Lonchura striata: one gene and its partner. The protein of the gene in region 2 interacts with the protein of the main gene of each other region in a biochemical or structural test. Links are inferred from orthologs where the notes say so. Each region holds a gene or a part of one and is shown on either strand. Other genes may lie near its edges.

Region 1 (7,221 bases), on a different chromosome or scaffold from region 2:
TTCTGTTTTAGTGAAAGATGAGAATCTAGAGAGATAGTGCATTGCTCTCCAGTCCTCTATCCAGTCCAGCCAGCCCACCAGGCACCCCAAAGTGCCACCCACCCTAGAGTCTGAGTGGTTATAATTCAAAAAACAACTCCAAGAAATGGAAAATAGAAAAAGAGGCAGTAAAATGTTGTATCAAATAACACGAACACTGGTGAACACCCAGTCACCCTCTCTGCACACAAAGTGCCTGGATAAGAGCAGCCAGATCCCAGACTACACCAGCTTATCAGGACATCATAAGGCAGAAGAGTAGATCTGGCAGCTGCAAGCCAAATGTGTCTCACAAAACACTGCACTGCTGGAGGCAGCTGCCTCATCTTTATAGCAGATGCCCATCCTGTGATGACTTTGGTGCCTGGTGTGACATGCCCCATCACCAACTCATCTAAAATAGAGCAGATCCCACAGGCTTTATCTCAATCTTCTTCTCTGTGACCCAGCAGGTAGGGATGCAGCCAGAATTAACCCAGTGAAGATGAGAAGCTGCCTTTGGTGCTCTTGCTTACACCTCCTCCCATGCATGAATCCCGCTACTTGCATGAATCCAACTTATGTCCAGAGGGCTCCTGGACAAAATAAAGCTTTGCCCTTGGGAAATATCCTTCCCTATTGCTATTGCCTTCTGCTTGTGCTCGCTCTTCATGCAGCATCCTCATGAGTGGCTCCACATCCACAGCAGCTCTCTCTCACCACCCCTCACCCATAGTTCCAACCCCTCCTTCTAGTCCTCGCTGCACTTTGCCAGCATCCCACTTGTTCCACCCCAACTACTTTGGCATCTAAACCCAAATTGTTTCCAACACCTGGATGACCCTGGTCTATCTTCCAACCTTCCTCCAACCTCAATTTAGACTGCACTACACCCTCACCACCTCACCTGTCTCCCAGCATTGCCCTCCACCCAAGACACACAGTTTTTTCCTTCATTCCATGCTACTACCTCTCAAACAATTTATTTCTATCACCCAACACTTCTTTTCTCCCTGGGATCTTTCTTTCTTTCATCAACATCAAAACTCCACTTCCAATCTTTCCTACAGTTTATTCTTATTTCTTCTTTTGAACCTAGACTGTCCCTCATCTTGCCAGCCCATGGCAGAAAACCCAGAGCACACAACATCCCAGCAAACTATCCTAGCCAGCCAAACATTGACTGTTTTTTTCCCACTGACTCACCAGACGGTCCATCCCATCCAACTGGCAGTTTTCTTTCAGCCTCTGAGCACTTTGTCCTGGCCATCTCTGAACACCTAACCCCTTCATCCAGTCTCTCTCTGCCATGATTGAACTCCCTTTCTCAGGCTGTGTATTAAAAACCATCCCTTCCACCTCAGCAAGCTGTCCTCTAGCTCCCTCAATTTCTACAGCCAGGATTCAAGTCCCACGGTGGCCTCCTCCCATCTTGGCTGGGCTGTCCAGTGTCCCTTTAGAGTCACAGCTGCTCCCAGACTTTTCACAGACAATCTCTGAGCGCTGCCTTCCATAATTGCCAAGGTCTTCCATTGCTCCTTCCCTCTTCAGGACACTGCCATCCTGGTCCCCAGCCCTCCCAAGCACCCACCTCTGCATCACACCTTCTACACCTTGACTGAATCAGCTCCAGGCATGCTGATTCCATCCCAACAAAGAGCCCCCATAGCATCTTCCCGGCCTCTGTCTAGACCTGATTCACAAAATCACAAAATCAATTAGATTGTAAAACACCTCTGAGATCACCAAGTCCAACCTATGACTGAACACTTACATGTCAACTAGAGCATGGCACCAAGTGCCATGTACAACCTTTCCAATCTCCCTAAACCCTTCCAGGGATGGTGATTGAACCACCTCCCTGGCCAGTGCTTTACAATGTTCAATCACCCTTTCTGTGAAGAAATTCATCCTAATGTCCAGTCTGAATCTCCCCAGCACAGCTCGAGGCTATTTTCCCCTGTCCTGTCACTTGGGTCACTTCTACATGGGAGAAGAGGCCAATCCTCACCTGTCTATGACCTCCCTTTGGGTAGCTGAAGAGGGATAAGGTCACCCCTGGGTTTCCTCCTCTTCACACTACACAATCCCAGCTCCTTCAGCCACTCCTCACAGGACTTGTGCTCCAGGCCCTTCACCAGTTCTGTTGCCTTTTTTCGGACTCAACCCCCTTTTTTATGTTCCCCATAACATCTGTGTGTTGCCAGGGCCCCAACCCCAGCCAGGGTCTTCCCCAAACTTGCACTGTTCTCATCCCTTTCTACGGGTGCCTGCACCCGCACAGCCCCAGGCCCCCATGCCTGGCTGGATGCCCCAGGTGGGCACTCGGACCCCGGGCCAGCCAGGGTCCCTGGGTGGGTGTCACAGGATGGGTCAGGCTGCAAGGGACCACAGTCGGTCATCTGCTCCAACGTCCCACTCAGGCGTGGTCATCCTTTAACACGTGGCACAGGATCGCGTCCAGATGGTTCTGGGATATCTCCAGTGAGGGAGACTCCACAAACTCTCTGTGCAATCTGTTCCAATGTGTGGTCACCCGCACAGCAAAGTTCTTTCTTGTATTCAGGTGGAATTTCCTGTGCATCAGTTTCTGTCCGTTACCTCTTACCCCAGTGCCCGACAGCACCAAGTAGAGCCTGGCTCGGCCGCCCTGGTTCCATCGCCTTGGCACCCCCTCTCACGGCCCAAGGCCTGCCCGTGCCTGCCACGAGCCCGGCCGGGCCCGACAGACCCTGCAGCCCCCATCACCCCACGCTCCGCGGGGGGATCATCCACGGCCTCAGGCACCCCCGGCCGCGCTGGCCCCGGCCCTCACCTCAGCTCAGCCCAGCCCAGCCCGGCCCGGCCCAGCCCAGCCCGGCCCGGCCCGGCCCCGCCGGCCCCCGCCCCGCTCACCATCCTCGGCGCGGCCCGGGGTTACCATGGGCAACTGCGTCACACCCACCGCGCGCCGACGTGCCCGCGCCGGGGGCGGGGCCAGCGCCGGGCCACGCCCCCTAACGGCGCGTGCGTACGAGGCCGGCCCTGCCGGGAGAGGTGGGCGCGGCCGCTCGGAGCTCTGTGATTGGCTGAGGGCGGCCACGCGGCGGAGCGCGGGGGCGGGAGGCGGGAGCGGGGCCTGGGAGCGCAGGTGGGGACACGTGGGGGCGCGGCGGGCCGGGCTGGGGCGGGGGCGTGCCGTGCCGAGCCGTGCCGTGCCGTGCCGAGCCGTGCCGGGCCGTGCCGTGCCGGGCCGGGCCGTGCCGTGCCGAGCCGTGCCGGGCCGTGCCGTGCCGAGCCGTGCCGTGCCGGGCCGACATAAGCCGTGACCCAGCCGCGCTGGAGGAGTGCCGGGGCTGTGCCATACCGGGCCGAGTCTGGGGTGTGCCGAGCTTTGCTGTGCCTTACAGAGAAGGGCAAGGAAATTGGCGAAGGGTCTGGAGCTCAAGTCTTAGGAGTGGCTGAGGGAGCTGGGAGCGTTTAACCTGGAGAAGAGGCTCACGGAGACCTTATCGCTGTCTACAGCTACCTTTTAAATGAGGTTGTAGCTAGGTGGGAATGGGCCCCTTCTCCCAGGCAACCAGCGACAGGAGAGAGGATACAGTCTGAAGCTGTGCCAGGAGAGGTTCAGGCTGGACATTAGTAAGAATTCCTTTACAGAAGCGTGATTAGATACTGAAAAGGACAGCCGAAGGAGATGGTGAAGTCACAGTCCCTGGAGGTGTTTAAGGAAAGACTGAACATGGCACTTGGCTAGGGTTAGGCTAGGTTAGCCATGCTGTAGTTGACATGGTGATGTTTGGTCATAGGCTGGGCCCAGATGATCTCAGAAGTATTTCCCTGCCTAATTCATTCTGTGATTCTGTGCTGTGCAACTGTGGGCATGTGGCGCAGCACCCCGGGGAGCATGCAGGGCAGTGCCATGGCAGTGCAGAGCAGCATTAGAGGGATGTGCAGGATGGTGCTGTGGCAGGCACAGCACAGTGTGAGGTGCTGTGCATACTCGGGGGCTGCAGAGTAGTGCCCCTGTAGGAGTGCCTGCAAGGCAGCCTTGTGGAGGGTTGAGCTGGTCCCTACAGTGCTGTACAGCACCATATCACCCCAAGGAGGGGGTGCGAGGTGCTATGGGGTGCAGCACAAATGGGGTGACCCCAGGCAAGCAGGATGATGTGTGAAGGAGTGGCCTGACTGCAGTGTTCTGCTGACAGCAGGAGTGCAGGGGCCTCCTGGCTCAGGGCTGCTGAAAGTCCAGTTGTCCTGTTAAACATAAACCTGCCATGGCTCTCATCCAGCTGCTCCTGTGGCTGTGGCAGGTGTGCACTCAATGAGCAAGCAAGAAAGGATCCTACTGAGCGGCCTTTTTCCCTGCCCAGACCTACGCCAAGATGGCCACAGTTTCTCTTAGCTTCAACATTGACTCCCCACGCTGGGACCAGAGCACCTTTGTGGGCCGCCTGAAGCACTTCCTCAACATCACCGACCCTCGGACAGTGCTGGTGCCAGAGGAGGAGCTGGACCAGGCCAAGGCCCTGGTGGAGGGCTGCAGGTGAGAGGCAGGGATACAGATGGGGGAGGTGCTGTCCCTGTGCTCATGGCCATGCCAACCACTGTGCAGTGTTGCAGGGGGATGGAGTCATTCTCAAGCAGGTGTGCAGTGATGTAACATCTGTTGGAGGTAGTTTTGGGGGCGTTTCCCAGGCTTCTCCCAGGAGCTTCAAGCTGTGACATGCATCCTTCTCTGGAGATGTTTCCTCTGCCTTTCATGTGGTGCCCAGAGCTCTGTGCCTCAGCAGTGCTGGGTGCTGGCAGGTCTGTGCAACTTCCCCTGATGAGCTTTGGGTTTGCAGGGCTGGGTTGGTGCCACCAGGAAGCAGCCAGGAGCAGCTGCTCTATGCCAAGAAGCTGTACGACTCAGCCTTCCACCCTGACAGCGGTGAGAAGATGAACCTCATTGGGAGGATGTCCTTCCAGGTGCCAGGGGGCATGGCCATCACTGGCTGCATGCTCCAGTTCTATCGGTGAGCTCCTGGGGACAGCCCTGACAGCCCCTAGCCCCTCTCGAGGTCCCTGATGGCCAGAGCAGAGCCAGCCTGCCTCTATGGGGCTGGGTGCTGCCTAAGGCATGCCCATGGCTGCTGTGTTTGCCTGTGTCCCATGGTCAAGCCCAATGTCTCTGGGATCTGTCCTCAGCACCCAGCCTGTGGTAGAAGCATCACAGATTCCTCTGGCCCATGGCATGGCTGGGTATGGTCTCACCTCACCCTGAGCTCAGCTGACATCTTCCCATAGCCCCTGTAATGATTAATGCAACCAAATCCTGCTTGGCTGCTGCGCTTGGTCTGTGGCCCATAGCAGTCTTTGAAACTGAGGAACAAATGTGCCCCTAGGCCAGGCTGCTTCAGCATCCCCAGCCCCTGCTGACAGCTCCCTGCATTTCCCTTCTCTACTCCCCTGCATTCCAAAGCGTGCTCCCTGTGTCCCTTCCTGCCCCACGTCAGTGTCCCTGAGACACCAACAGAAACCCAGGCACCCTCATTCCCCAGAGCCACTTCTGTCCCTGTGTGTCTGCGCCTTGCTGCTTGCTTTGACAAAGGCTTATCTCAGCCCAGCAGAGGATGGCTGCCACCCTGCTGAGAGCTGTCTCCCACCCCTGCCCAAGTGCCTTGCAGGACTGGGCCCTCCTCTTCCTATGGTCCCCAGGGTAACCAGAACTCCTGGGATCATTTCCCAGCTCTGCCACTAGCTTGTCACTTTGCCACAGTTCCTCAGTTTCCCTTTGGAGACATCATGATGAGTGGATTGCAGGCATCCTGGCTGTCTCCCTGCCAAGCCTGGCCACAGGCACAGGCCAGGTGTCCCTGACAGCCCTCAGGTGCTCTCCCATCCCTTCCCTCCACAGGACAGTGCCTGCCGTGGTTTTCTGGCAGTGGGTGAACCAGTCTTTCAATGCCTTTGTCAACTACACCAACCGCAACGCTGCCTCCCCCATCTCTCTGAGGTGAGCAGCCCAACAGGGTGGAGTGTGTCCATTTGATGCACCCCTGGATGCCCTATAAAGACCCTCTGTGCTGTGTCTTGGGCACAGAAGGAACAGGGCTGAGTCCGAGTTGGTGATTCTGTTATCTCTCTTCTTTGAAATTGCTGTCCAGGCAAATTGGGGTGGCTTATGTCACGGCCACTGGTGCAGCCCTGGCCACTGCAGTGGGACTCAACCTCTACACCAAGGTATGCCAGGCTAGGGCCAGGTGGGGCAGCTGGGCACATCCTGCTCTCCCGTGCTGATGCCAACCTGTTTCTCACAGCGAGCCCCACCCTTGCTGGCCCGCTGGGTCCCCTTTGCAGCTGTGGCTGCTGCCAATTGTGTCAATATCCCCATGATGCGGCAACAGTAAGTGTCACATGTGGCTGGGGGGCTTGAGGGACCCAGCTCCCTCCAAAGGCAAACTGGTGGCAGCCAAGCTCCTGGGCTGCCTGCCCTCCCTGCCTTGGATTCCCCTCTTGAGAGCTGGAGAGAGATGAACTGGGGTCTGTGCATTTGCAGTGCTGTATCTGTGGTGCAGGGTGCTGGGTGGGATGGTTCAGCCTCCACCCAGGAGGGGGATTTTCGGCTGAGGATAGCTGCTCTGGAATCCGTGCTGGAAGATCTCTCAAACCCAAAGATCTCCTGCATGTCATGGGAGAACCCCAGTCCATTATATCTTGATGCTGGGACACCCCAGTTGGGGTCTTTGTTGTGACCTGTGCCTGCTGCTTGGTTATCACAGCACAAGGAGCTCAGGTACTGCGTGAGGGACTGTGCCCTGGCTCAGCTGTGTCTGTCCCTAGCATGGCCAGATCCTGCTCGCAGCTGTGCCCTGAAGATGGCAGCATCGGCTGGGCTGGGGACCGTGGTGCCCCGGGGTGCTGGAGCCCCGTGCCCTGGGGGCATCCGGGGCTACTGTGTAAAAAGGACTCCCCTGGCACCCCCTCACCCCGTTACTGTGTCCCTATGCTTTCCCGGCCATCCTGTCCCCCACTCACGGCTGCCTGTCCCCTTCAGGGAGATCATCAACGGGATCACAGTGACAGATGAGAACAACAATGAGCTCGGCTGCTCCAGGGTGAGTCTGAGGATGGGGATTTGGGCTGGGGCACGGCGCTGCCGGGGCTCACCTGCTGATTTTGCTTGCAGAGGGCAGCAGTGAAGGGCATTGCGCAGGTTGTGCTCTCCAGGATCACCATGGC
Region 2 (6,908 bases):
CAATGTAATCTAAATTTGATTACATTTTGTATACATTAAAACTTCTGTCCTCACTTAATAAAGTCACACAGAAATCTGAAAAGGTTCCTCAAGTTCATATACTTTCCTTAATTTCACTTTAGCTATCAGCATCTTATAATATTTTCTATTTAGAATTTTTTACCACATGGTCTGTTTTTGGGACTATTACACAGGTTACATGGTCACTGTAATATCATCATATTACTCTTTGTCTAGGGCTACACTAGCAGACAGTATCAAAACTAACCATTTTTTGCCATCAAAACATGATTAAAATAGGCTCAACTAGCAATGATGTCCTTCAGAAGCAGCAGAAGTAGTTTTGTTAGAGGAACCCCTCAGGTTCCCCCTGCTACACATCCCTAATCACACAAATATGCACACAAGTGTGCCTACATTTTTCTGCCGTGTCAGGATGGCATTAGTTTACAGGAAGACAGTTGGAGTGTCTGAGCAGCAAGATACCTGTAAGAATATACAGAGCATAGTTTACAAAAACTACAGACAATTACCAAACCTGCCTGTGAAACTGAACTATATAACCACAACTGCATCACAAAGTAGTAGAGCCTAAAATCAGAAACACATCCCCAACCCAAACAGTGGAAATAAACATCAAAAGAAAACCTAGCACATCTGTTGACAGAATTGAGGTTTTCAGCATTTAGAATATGATTCAATGCACTTGATGAACAAAAAGGAGTCTTGATTGACTCTTTTCCTACTTACTTCAATTTAACTTTGTGTACAAGCACAAACTTGTGAAATAAATAAGTATATATGAAGCATCAGAAATGAGAAAGCAATAGACAACAGGACAAGGTATCACAGACAACATTTAAAGCTACTACATTAACACTGACAAGGTGTCACCTAATACAAACTGGGATCAACAAGTTTAGTGCACCAAGTGTTCAGTACTCCTTCACCTAAGATAAGATAACTCTGGGTGCTTTCCTAGTTTAATGTATTACTCTTACATCTAAAAAGCCCAATGAAAAATAAGGATGCAAAGAGCAAGGGAAATTAACTTGGACATTAAACAGCCATTTTTAGGCTGTACAGTACAACACTAAGAAGCTAATTTGATGGTTTACACAGTTCACTAGCACAGCCCAAACTCACTGATTCTTCTGGTTTCTAAGAGTCTTTTACAGAAAACGAGGAAGTTTTACATGCAATACATGACCGTGGTTTTTTTACTCCACAAAGATAGATTGTTGGTGCTGTAACAGTCTCATATGTTAGCTTGAGCCTACTTCCAGCAAGTTAACAACAAACATTTCCTTAGCAACAAGGCCGGCTATTCTCTGAATCAAGTCTTTATATATCCTGACTTTCCTTCTTTTAGTTTTCAAAGTTAGCTTTATATAAGTAGAAGGGGTAAAAATTCTGTTGAGCTTTAGCCAGTAAATTTGCTCTAAAATTAAAAAATAGTATTCCAAAGGCTGATTTGGTAATTTACTTCTAGATATAGTTTTGTTCTCTCACTAAAATATGGCTTCACTACAGCCACTCCCACTGTGAGAGTAGTCTCCATACAAGTGACAGGCTGTTATCCTATCTTTCTCCGTCTGCTCCCTAAATATCTGCTATCCAGTCAAAGCAATAAGCCCAACACAGATTCCTCATCTTTATCATCAAGGAGCCAATTCCTCCAGGCCACACGCACACTCTCTAGCTCATCTCCATCTAAGCTTGTCTTAATCTACTTGAAAGACTTAAGGGCCACCCTAGAGCACCTGGCCAAGTTTAAAAAACAAGCAAGCTAAACATTCAAATAAGTTCACACATTTTCTTTTACATACTTGTAAAATATGGCCTAAAGGTTTGAGGATTTTATTTGTTGAAATCACATTAATTATGTTTTTCGCCTGCCCAGTTTTTGCCTCTCCCACCCGAAGGTAGCCAGAGAGGAGAGGAAGAGAGGCCTAGTAGGGTTACAATGTCATTACATATTTAAGAAGCGATATTTGAAATGAGGCTAGGATGAAATACATTTTATCCAGCATTTAAATGCTTTCCCGCTTGAGTCTTCGTGACTGTCTCCTGGAGCTCTGGAAACAGCACGGGAAAGGATTTGACTTCCTCTGTCTTTTTAGGGGCTAATAAACTGGTTCTACTTCCTCAAAAAAAAAAAAAAAAAAAAAAACACAACCACACGCAAAAGAAAAACCCCAAACAAACAAACAAACAAAAACCACCCCAAAGTCTTAAAAAAACCCAACCAACCAAACCTGCAGCGCAAACAGCGAAGCAGGAAGAATCAATATAGACAGTCAGGACACACGGCACGAGTTTTATGCCTCCGTTCCATGCCCGGTGCAGGGTCTCGCCCGGGCACAAGCAGCTCCCCAGCCATTAATCCCGGTTTTCTCGAGTGAAGCACGCACCCAGGGGACTCCGCGCTGTATCAGGAAGCAAGCAGACACCCGTGGGGACTGTCACAGCCAAGCTGCCTGCCCACAGGGCGCCGTCCCACCGGGAGGCAGCCCCAGCCCCCTCCGGAGCAGCCCCGCACCGGGGACCGATGCTCGCACCGCCCGCACCCGCGGCACCCAGCGCGCCGCCCTCTCCGCTTACACAATTTGAGACTGCCCGGTAAAATCCTTAGGCTAAACACTTTTTAATTGTTCAGATAAACGCACTGAACTGCACGGACCGAGCCGTAACAGCGGGACGGGGAAGGCGTGCTCCCTGCCGGTGCACACACCCCGCCGCAGAGCCCGGAGGGCAGGAGAGCGAGATGCTGCCCACTGAGAGAGGCGACAGCGATAGCCCCAGCCCCAGCCCTTGGCAGCCGCCGGGGCGGTACCTTGGCTCGCAGGTCCCAGCTGTACTGCGGCGCCTTCTGCTCGCCGGTGCCCGCGTCCTGCCCGGCTCCCGCTGGCTGCGGCTGCCGCCCGCCCTGGGCCGGCTTCCTGCGGCGGGAGAAGAAGCACCCCATGGCGCTGCCGCCGCCGCCCGGCGGGGAGAGGCTGGCGGCGGGGAAGGGCTCGCCAGCGCCGCACCGCCCCGCCCCGCCGGCTTCCGGTTTGCTCCCGTCTCCCGTAGCGACCGCGACATTTCCCCTCGCCTTTCCCTTCCCCTTCCCCGCCCCGTCCCGCTCCAGCCATCGCCTCCGGCCGGCGGAGGCGCCTGGACGGGGCGGTGCCTGGCAGCGGCGAGGCGGCGCCGCGGGGCTGAGAGGCCGGGGGCAAGCGGGGCAGTCGGTTTGTCCCGCGGTTTGTCCCGCGGTTTGTCCCGCGGTTTGTCGTGATCCGCATCGCTCCCCCGCCCCGGGGAGGGTTCGCTCCCGCCCGTCCCGCGGGAGCGGCTCGGAAGAGGCGGCGGCTGGCCGTGAACCCAGCGCTCTACCGAGGTGAAACCTGTGCCCCGCCGGAGCCATGTGCGGGTTCAGCTGTGGAAGTCGGAGGCAAAACGCCCTGTACGGGGTGTAAATACAAACCGGCTAATCCTGCATCACGTCCTTTTCCTATGGATACACCGGCGCGGTCCCCTCGGGACGCGTGCCACCGCCGTGCTCGCTTCCCTGGCAGCGCTGCCCCAGAAGACCCGGCTTCTTGCAAGTGTTTCAGAGCAGCAGAAGCAGCAAGTGGCGGCATGAGAACCCACAGCGTTCTGCTGCTTTGTGCCTCCTTTTGCAAATAGTCGGGCTTCCTATGTTGGGTTGTCGTTTGTGAGTTTGTTGTTTGGCTTGGTTTTCTTTAGCGGTTGTTTTTTTGGTGGGTTTTTTTTTGTTTGTTTTTGTTTTTTGTTTTGGTTTTTTGTTTTGTTTTGGCTTTGTTTTTTACCCCAGAAGAAAAACTCACACTCTTTTTATCAGACTGTCTGACCAGTCAAAAACATTTTCCCCGAGATTTTCTCTTCAAAATTGTCTATGATGTTTTGTTCAGTTTCTTCAGAAAGTATCCACTTGCTCTCTTGTGGGTTCCCTCATGGGCCACGCTGCGGATATTTGCACCCACTGTGGTCTTTTACATGGGCTACAGGGAAATTCTTGCTCCAGCACCTGCAGCACCTCCATCCCCTCCTTTTTTTGACCTTGATGTTCACAATGGTATTCCCCCACTTTTTTCTTCTCTCTCCTCTCTCTCTCTCTCACTGGTACATAGTGGTGTAGCCCTTCCTTAAAAATGTTTTCCCAGGGGTGCCACCGGTGTTACTGTTGAGGCTCAGCCATTCCCCATGGTGGGTCTGTTGGAGGTGTCTGGAAGTGGCTGTGTCCGGTGTGGGACAGCCCTTTTTCCTCACAGAGACCACCCATGCTGCCAGCACTTGGTCACCTACACATAGTTCATACCCACTAACAAAACTTCTGGGACATTTTGTGTTAAGAAGAGGATGGCATTCCTGCTGTAGGAATAGAAGAGATGAGAACCAGGAAATGTAGCAGAGCAGTGCTGTGCCAGTTGTGCAGGTTGAAAGGCTTGTCCAGCTCAGGGCCCTGAGAACAGCAGAAAGGAGGAAGTGGAAGCAATTGCTCATAAATGGTTGCTAAAGAGGAGGGGTGACTGACACCCTTTTTGGCGTCATCTGTGCTGCAAAACCATATACCTGGGCAGTAGTGAAGCCTGCTCTGAGCTTTTGAAGCTACAGTTCAAGTCAATAGCTACCCTCAACACCACCAAGGACAGCTTTACATCTCAGTTGAAAAGTGGATTTTCTCTATGAGCCATTTCCTGGGTTTCTTGAGCACTGGTTTGCTGATCTTCATCTAATCCTCTGTGCACCAGCTCTTTCCTCCCAAGTTTTGTCTTAAACCATTACACATGGTGTGTCCAGCTAGGACAGTCTGAGACTGTTTGCGAATGCAGGAGTCTGATACACCCTCACCTCTTCTTGCTCACTCTCTGAAAGTCTAAGAGTCCTCCAACACCCCTGTGTATTTCATACAGAGTAGCAAAGTTCTGCAGCCTTTAGGCTACCAGGCTCCTCTTTCTGTGCATCCATTAAAAAAATAAATAGAAGGAATAAAAAGCATTTTTGTTAAAAATTAAAATACCATACTTGTCCTGCAAAATTATCAGTCCTATGAAAATACAGGATTTTTGTATGACTACAGCTGATCAGGAGAAGCCATAGATTTTATTTCTCTGTCATAACACAACCTCTCAAGCTCTAGGGTGTCTCCTGACACCAAAGCCCCAGAGTACTTATGCCTGAGCAAATTAATATGACTTCTATAAGCACATAACTTCTTAAGAAATCGCAAATGCGTCTTTCAATTCTTCATTCTCTACTCATCTGCCAGCCAGACCCAACCCTCTTGGCTTCTGAGATTTGATACAGTCATAGACCGAAGTGTAGTAATACAAGATTGCAATAGTATCATAGTCACTACCAACCATGACTACACTCATCTTAATTTCAAAAAACTGCTGTAATCAGTGATTTGCCTCATGGGGGTGTTGTGAAATATATCTAATTACAGTCTAATACAGAGTTTTGTGGTCTCAAAGAGTGGTATGTAGATAACTGAAAAATAAAACATTTTCTTTGTAAAGGTTATAGTCTAAGGTATTTGGTGAAAGAGACTTGCTCCATTGATGACTTCTGGGCACATGCAGCCTCACAAGGAGGCTTTCAGATCTCTGTTGTCCTTCCCAGGGGGACAGTGATGCCATTCTCAGGCAGGTGGGCAAAGCACCTGCATGGGCTGTGTCTCTGTATGGACTGGCTCTTATCCCCACAATGCTTGAAAGTGCTTGCATGCCCACAGATAAGATTCTGACTCCCTTTCCTCCTTTTGTTTGACACTCTTCTGTATTGCCCCAAAAGCACAGAGAGGGAGTTCTCAGTAAACATCAGGATCTGGAAACCTGCCCAGGTCTTAAGCAGGTATCTTAAGGAAGCAAGAGCTCACTGTGTGAACATCCGCACTTCTCCTGTCTTGGGCTAGGATCTGTTTGTCTTGGTAGTGTTGGAAGCCTGACAAAATGCACAAAGCCAAACTCTCACAGTCTTCTTCCTCATGAGATTCATTGTATCCTCTGTGTGTTCTCTTAAAGCGCTTGTAATCATACCTTTATGACAAAATCGAAGTGTGTTTTGTTTAAAGCAGGTTTTTAATCCTGTTGGTTATAGAGAAAACCTTGAAAATATAATTTCCAAGACATGAAAATAAAGAAAACAGAAGAGCTTAAATATTATTACTCTCTAAAAGCTCCTTTCATGTTTTCTATCAGGAAAGATTATAAATCCTGTGTTTGAGATCCTAGAAACTTATCTAAAATTGATATAAAGGTTTGGAAATAATTCCTAGTTAAGATTAGATTAACCTATAATCATACAAAATTGCGAATTACAGATGAATCCTTCCACAGTATTCAATTCCTTACATAGTATTCAACAGAAAGGAAGGGAAGGATACTTTACTGCTGGGCTCACTCTCTGAGGCTGTGTTTTCATACACATTTAAGACAGAACTGCCACAGAAATCATCCCTTGCCTCCAGCAGCTTATTTAAATCCTCAACCACCTATGCAGTGGGACAGCACAAATATTTGCAGACTTGGTAAACTGTGTTGGAAAACAGACAAATGTGTAAAACAACCATTTCAATCAGACATCTATGCCTTTCAGTCTCATATACTTTTTCCCCTTTTTTTCTTTTCTTTTTTTTTTTTTTCTTTTTCAGAAGCAGATGATGAATATACAGACTAGGATTTTCACATAGAGTCATCACATACTATGAGGTCATTTTGGCCTTTTTTGGTCTCTTTATCAGATTCTCTCCTGCTGGAGATTCTTGCCAGACTGAACACCCAAGAGAAGCTAGTCTGCAACTTGAAACTGGGTAGAACAAATAATATGGCTAATTTTGTGACAAGATGTACTAGAATCTGTTTTGCATTGCTAATGGGGATTTTGGACTAATGTCCTCC

The links. The genes of interacting proteins can lie anywhere in the genome.
Region 1: the proteins of RP2 (region 2) and ARL3 form a complex in vitro, tested with the Homo sapiens proteins (2 studies listed by BioGRID). The link is inferred for Lonchura striata from reciprocal best matches to the Homo sapiens genes RP2 and ARL3.

Annotation. Positions count from the first base shown.
Region 1 is NC_134609.1:20,183,882-20,191,102, forward strand, and holds the start of ARL3 (ADP-ribosylation factor-like protein 3), read right to left. Parts: upstream 3,012-7,221; 5' UTR 2,917-3,011; coding exon 2,914-2,916; intron 1-2,913. Other genes in the region: SFXN2 (sideroflexin-2), read left to right, coding at 4,383-4,543, 4,845-5,015, 5,897-5,995, 6,147-6,222, 6,300-6,385, 7,037-7,097, 7,169-7,221. UniProt on the Homo sapiens protein: Small GTP-binding protein which cycles between an inactive GDP-bound and an active GTP-bound form, and the rate of cycling is regulated by guanine nucleotide exchange factors (GEF) and GTPase-activating proteins (GAP).
Region 2 is NC_134604.1:84,238,182-84,245,089, forward strand, and holds the start of RP2 (protein XRP2), read right to left. Parts: upstream 3,017-6,908; 5' UTR 2,969-3,016; coding exon 2,837-2,968; intron 1-2,836. UniProt on the Homo sapiens protein: Acts as a GTPase-activating protein (GAP) involved in trafficking between the Golgi and the ciliary membrane.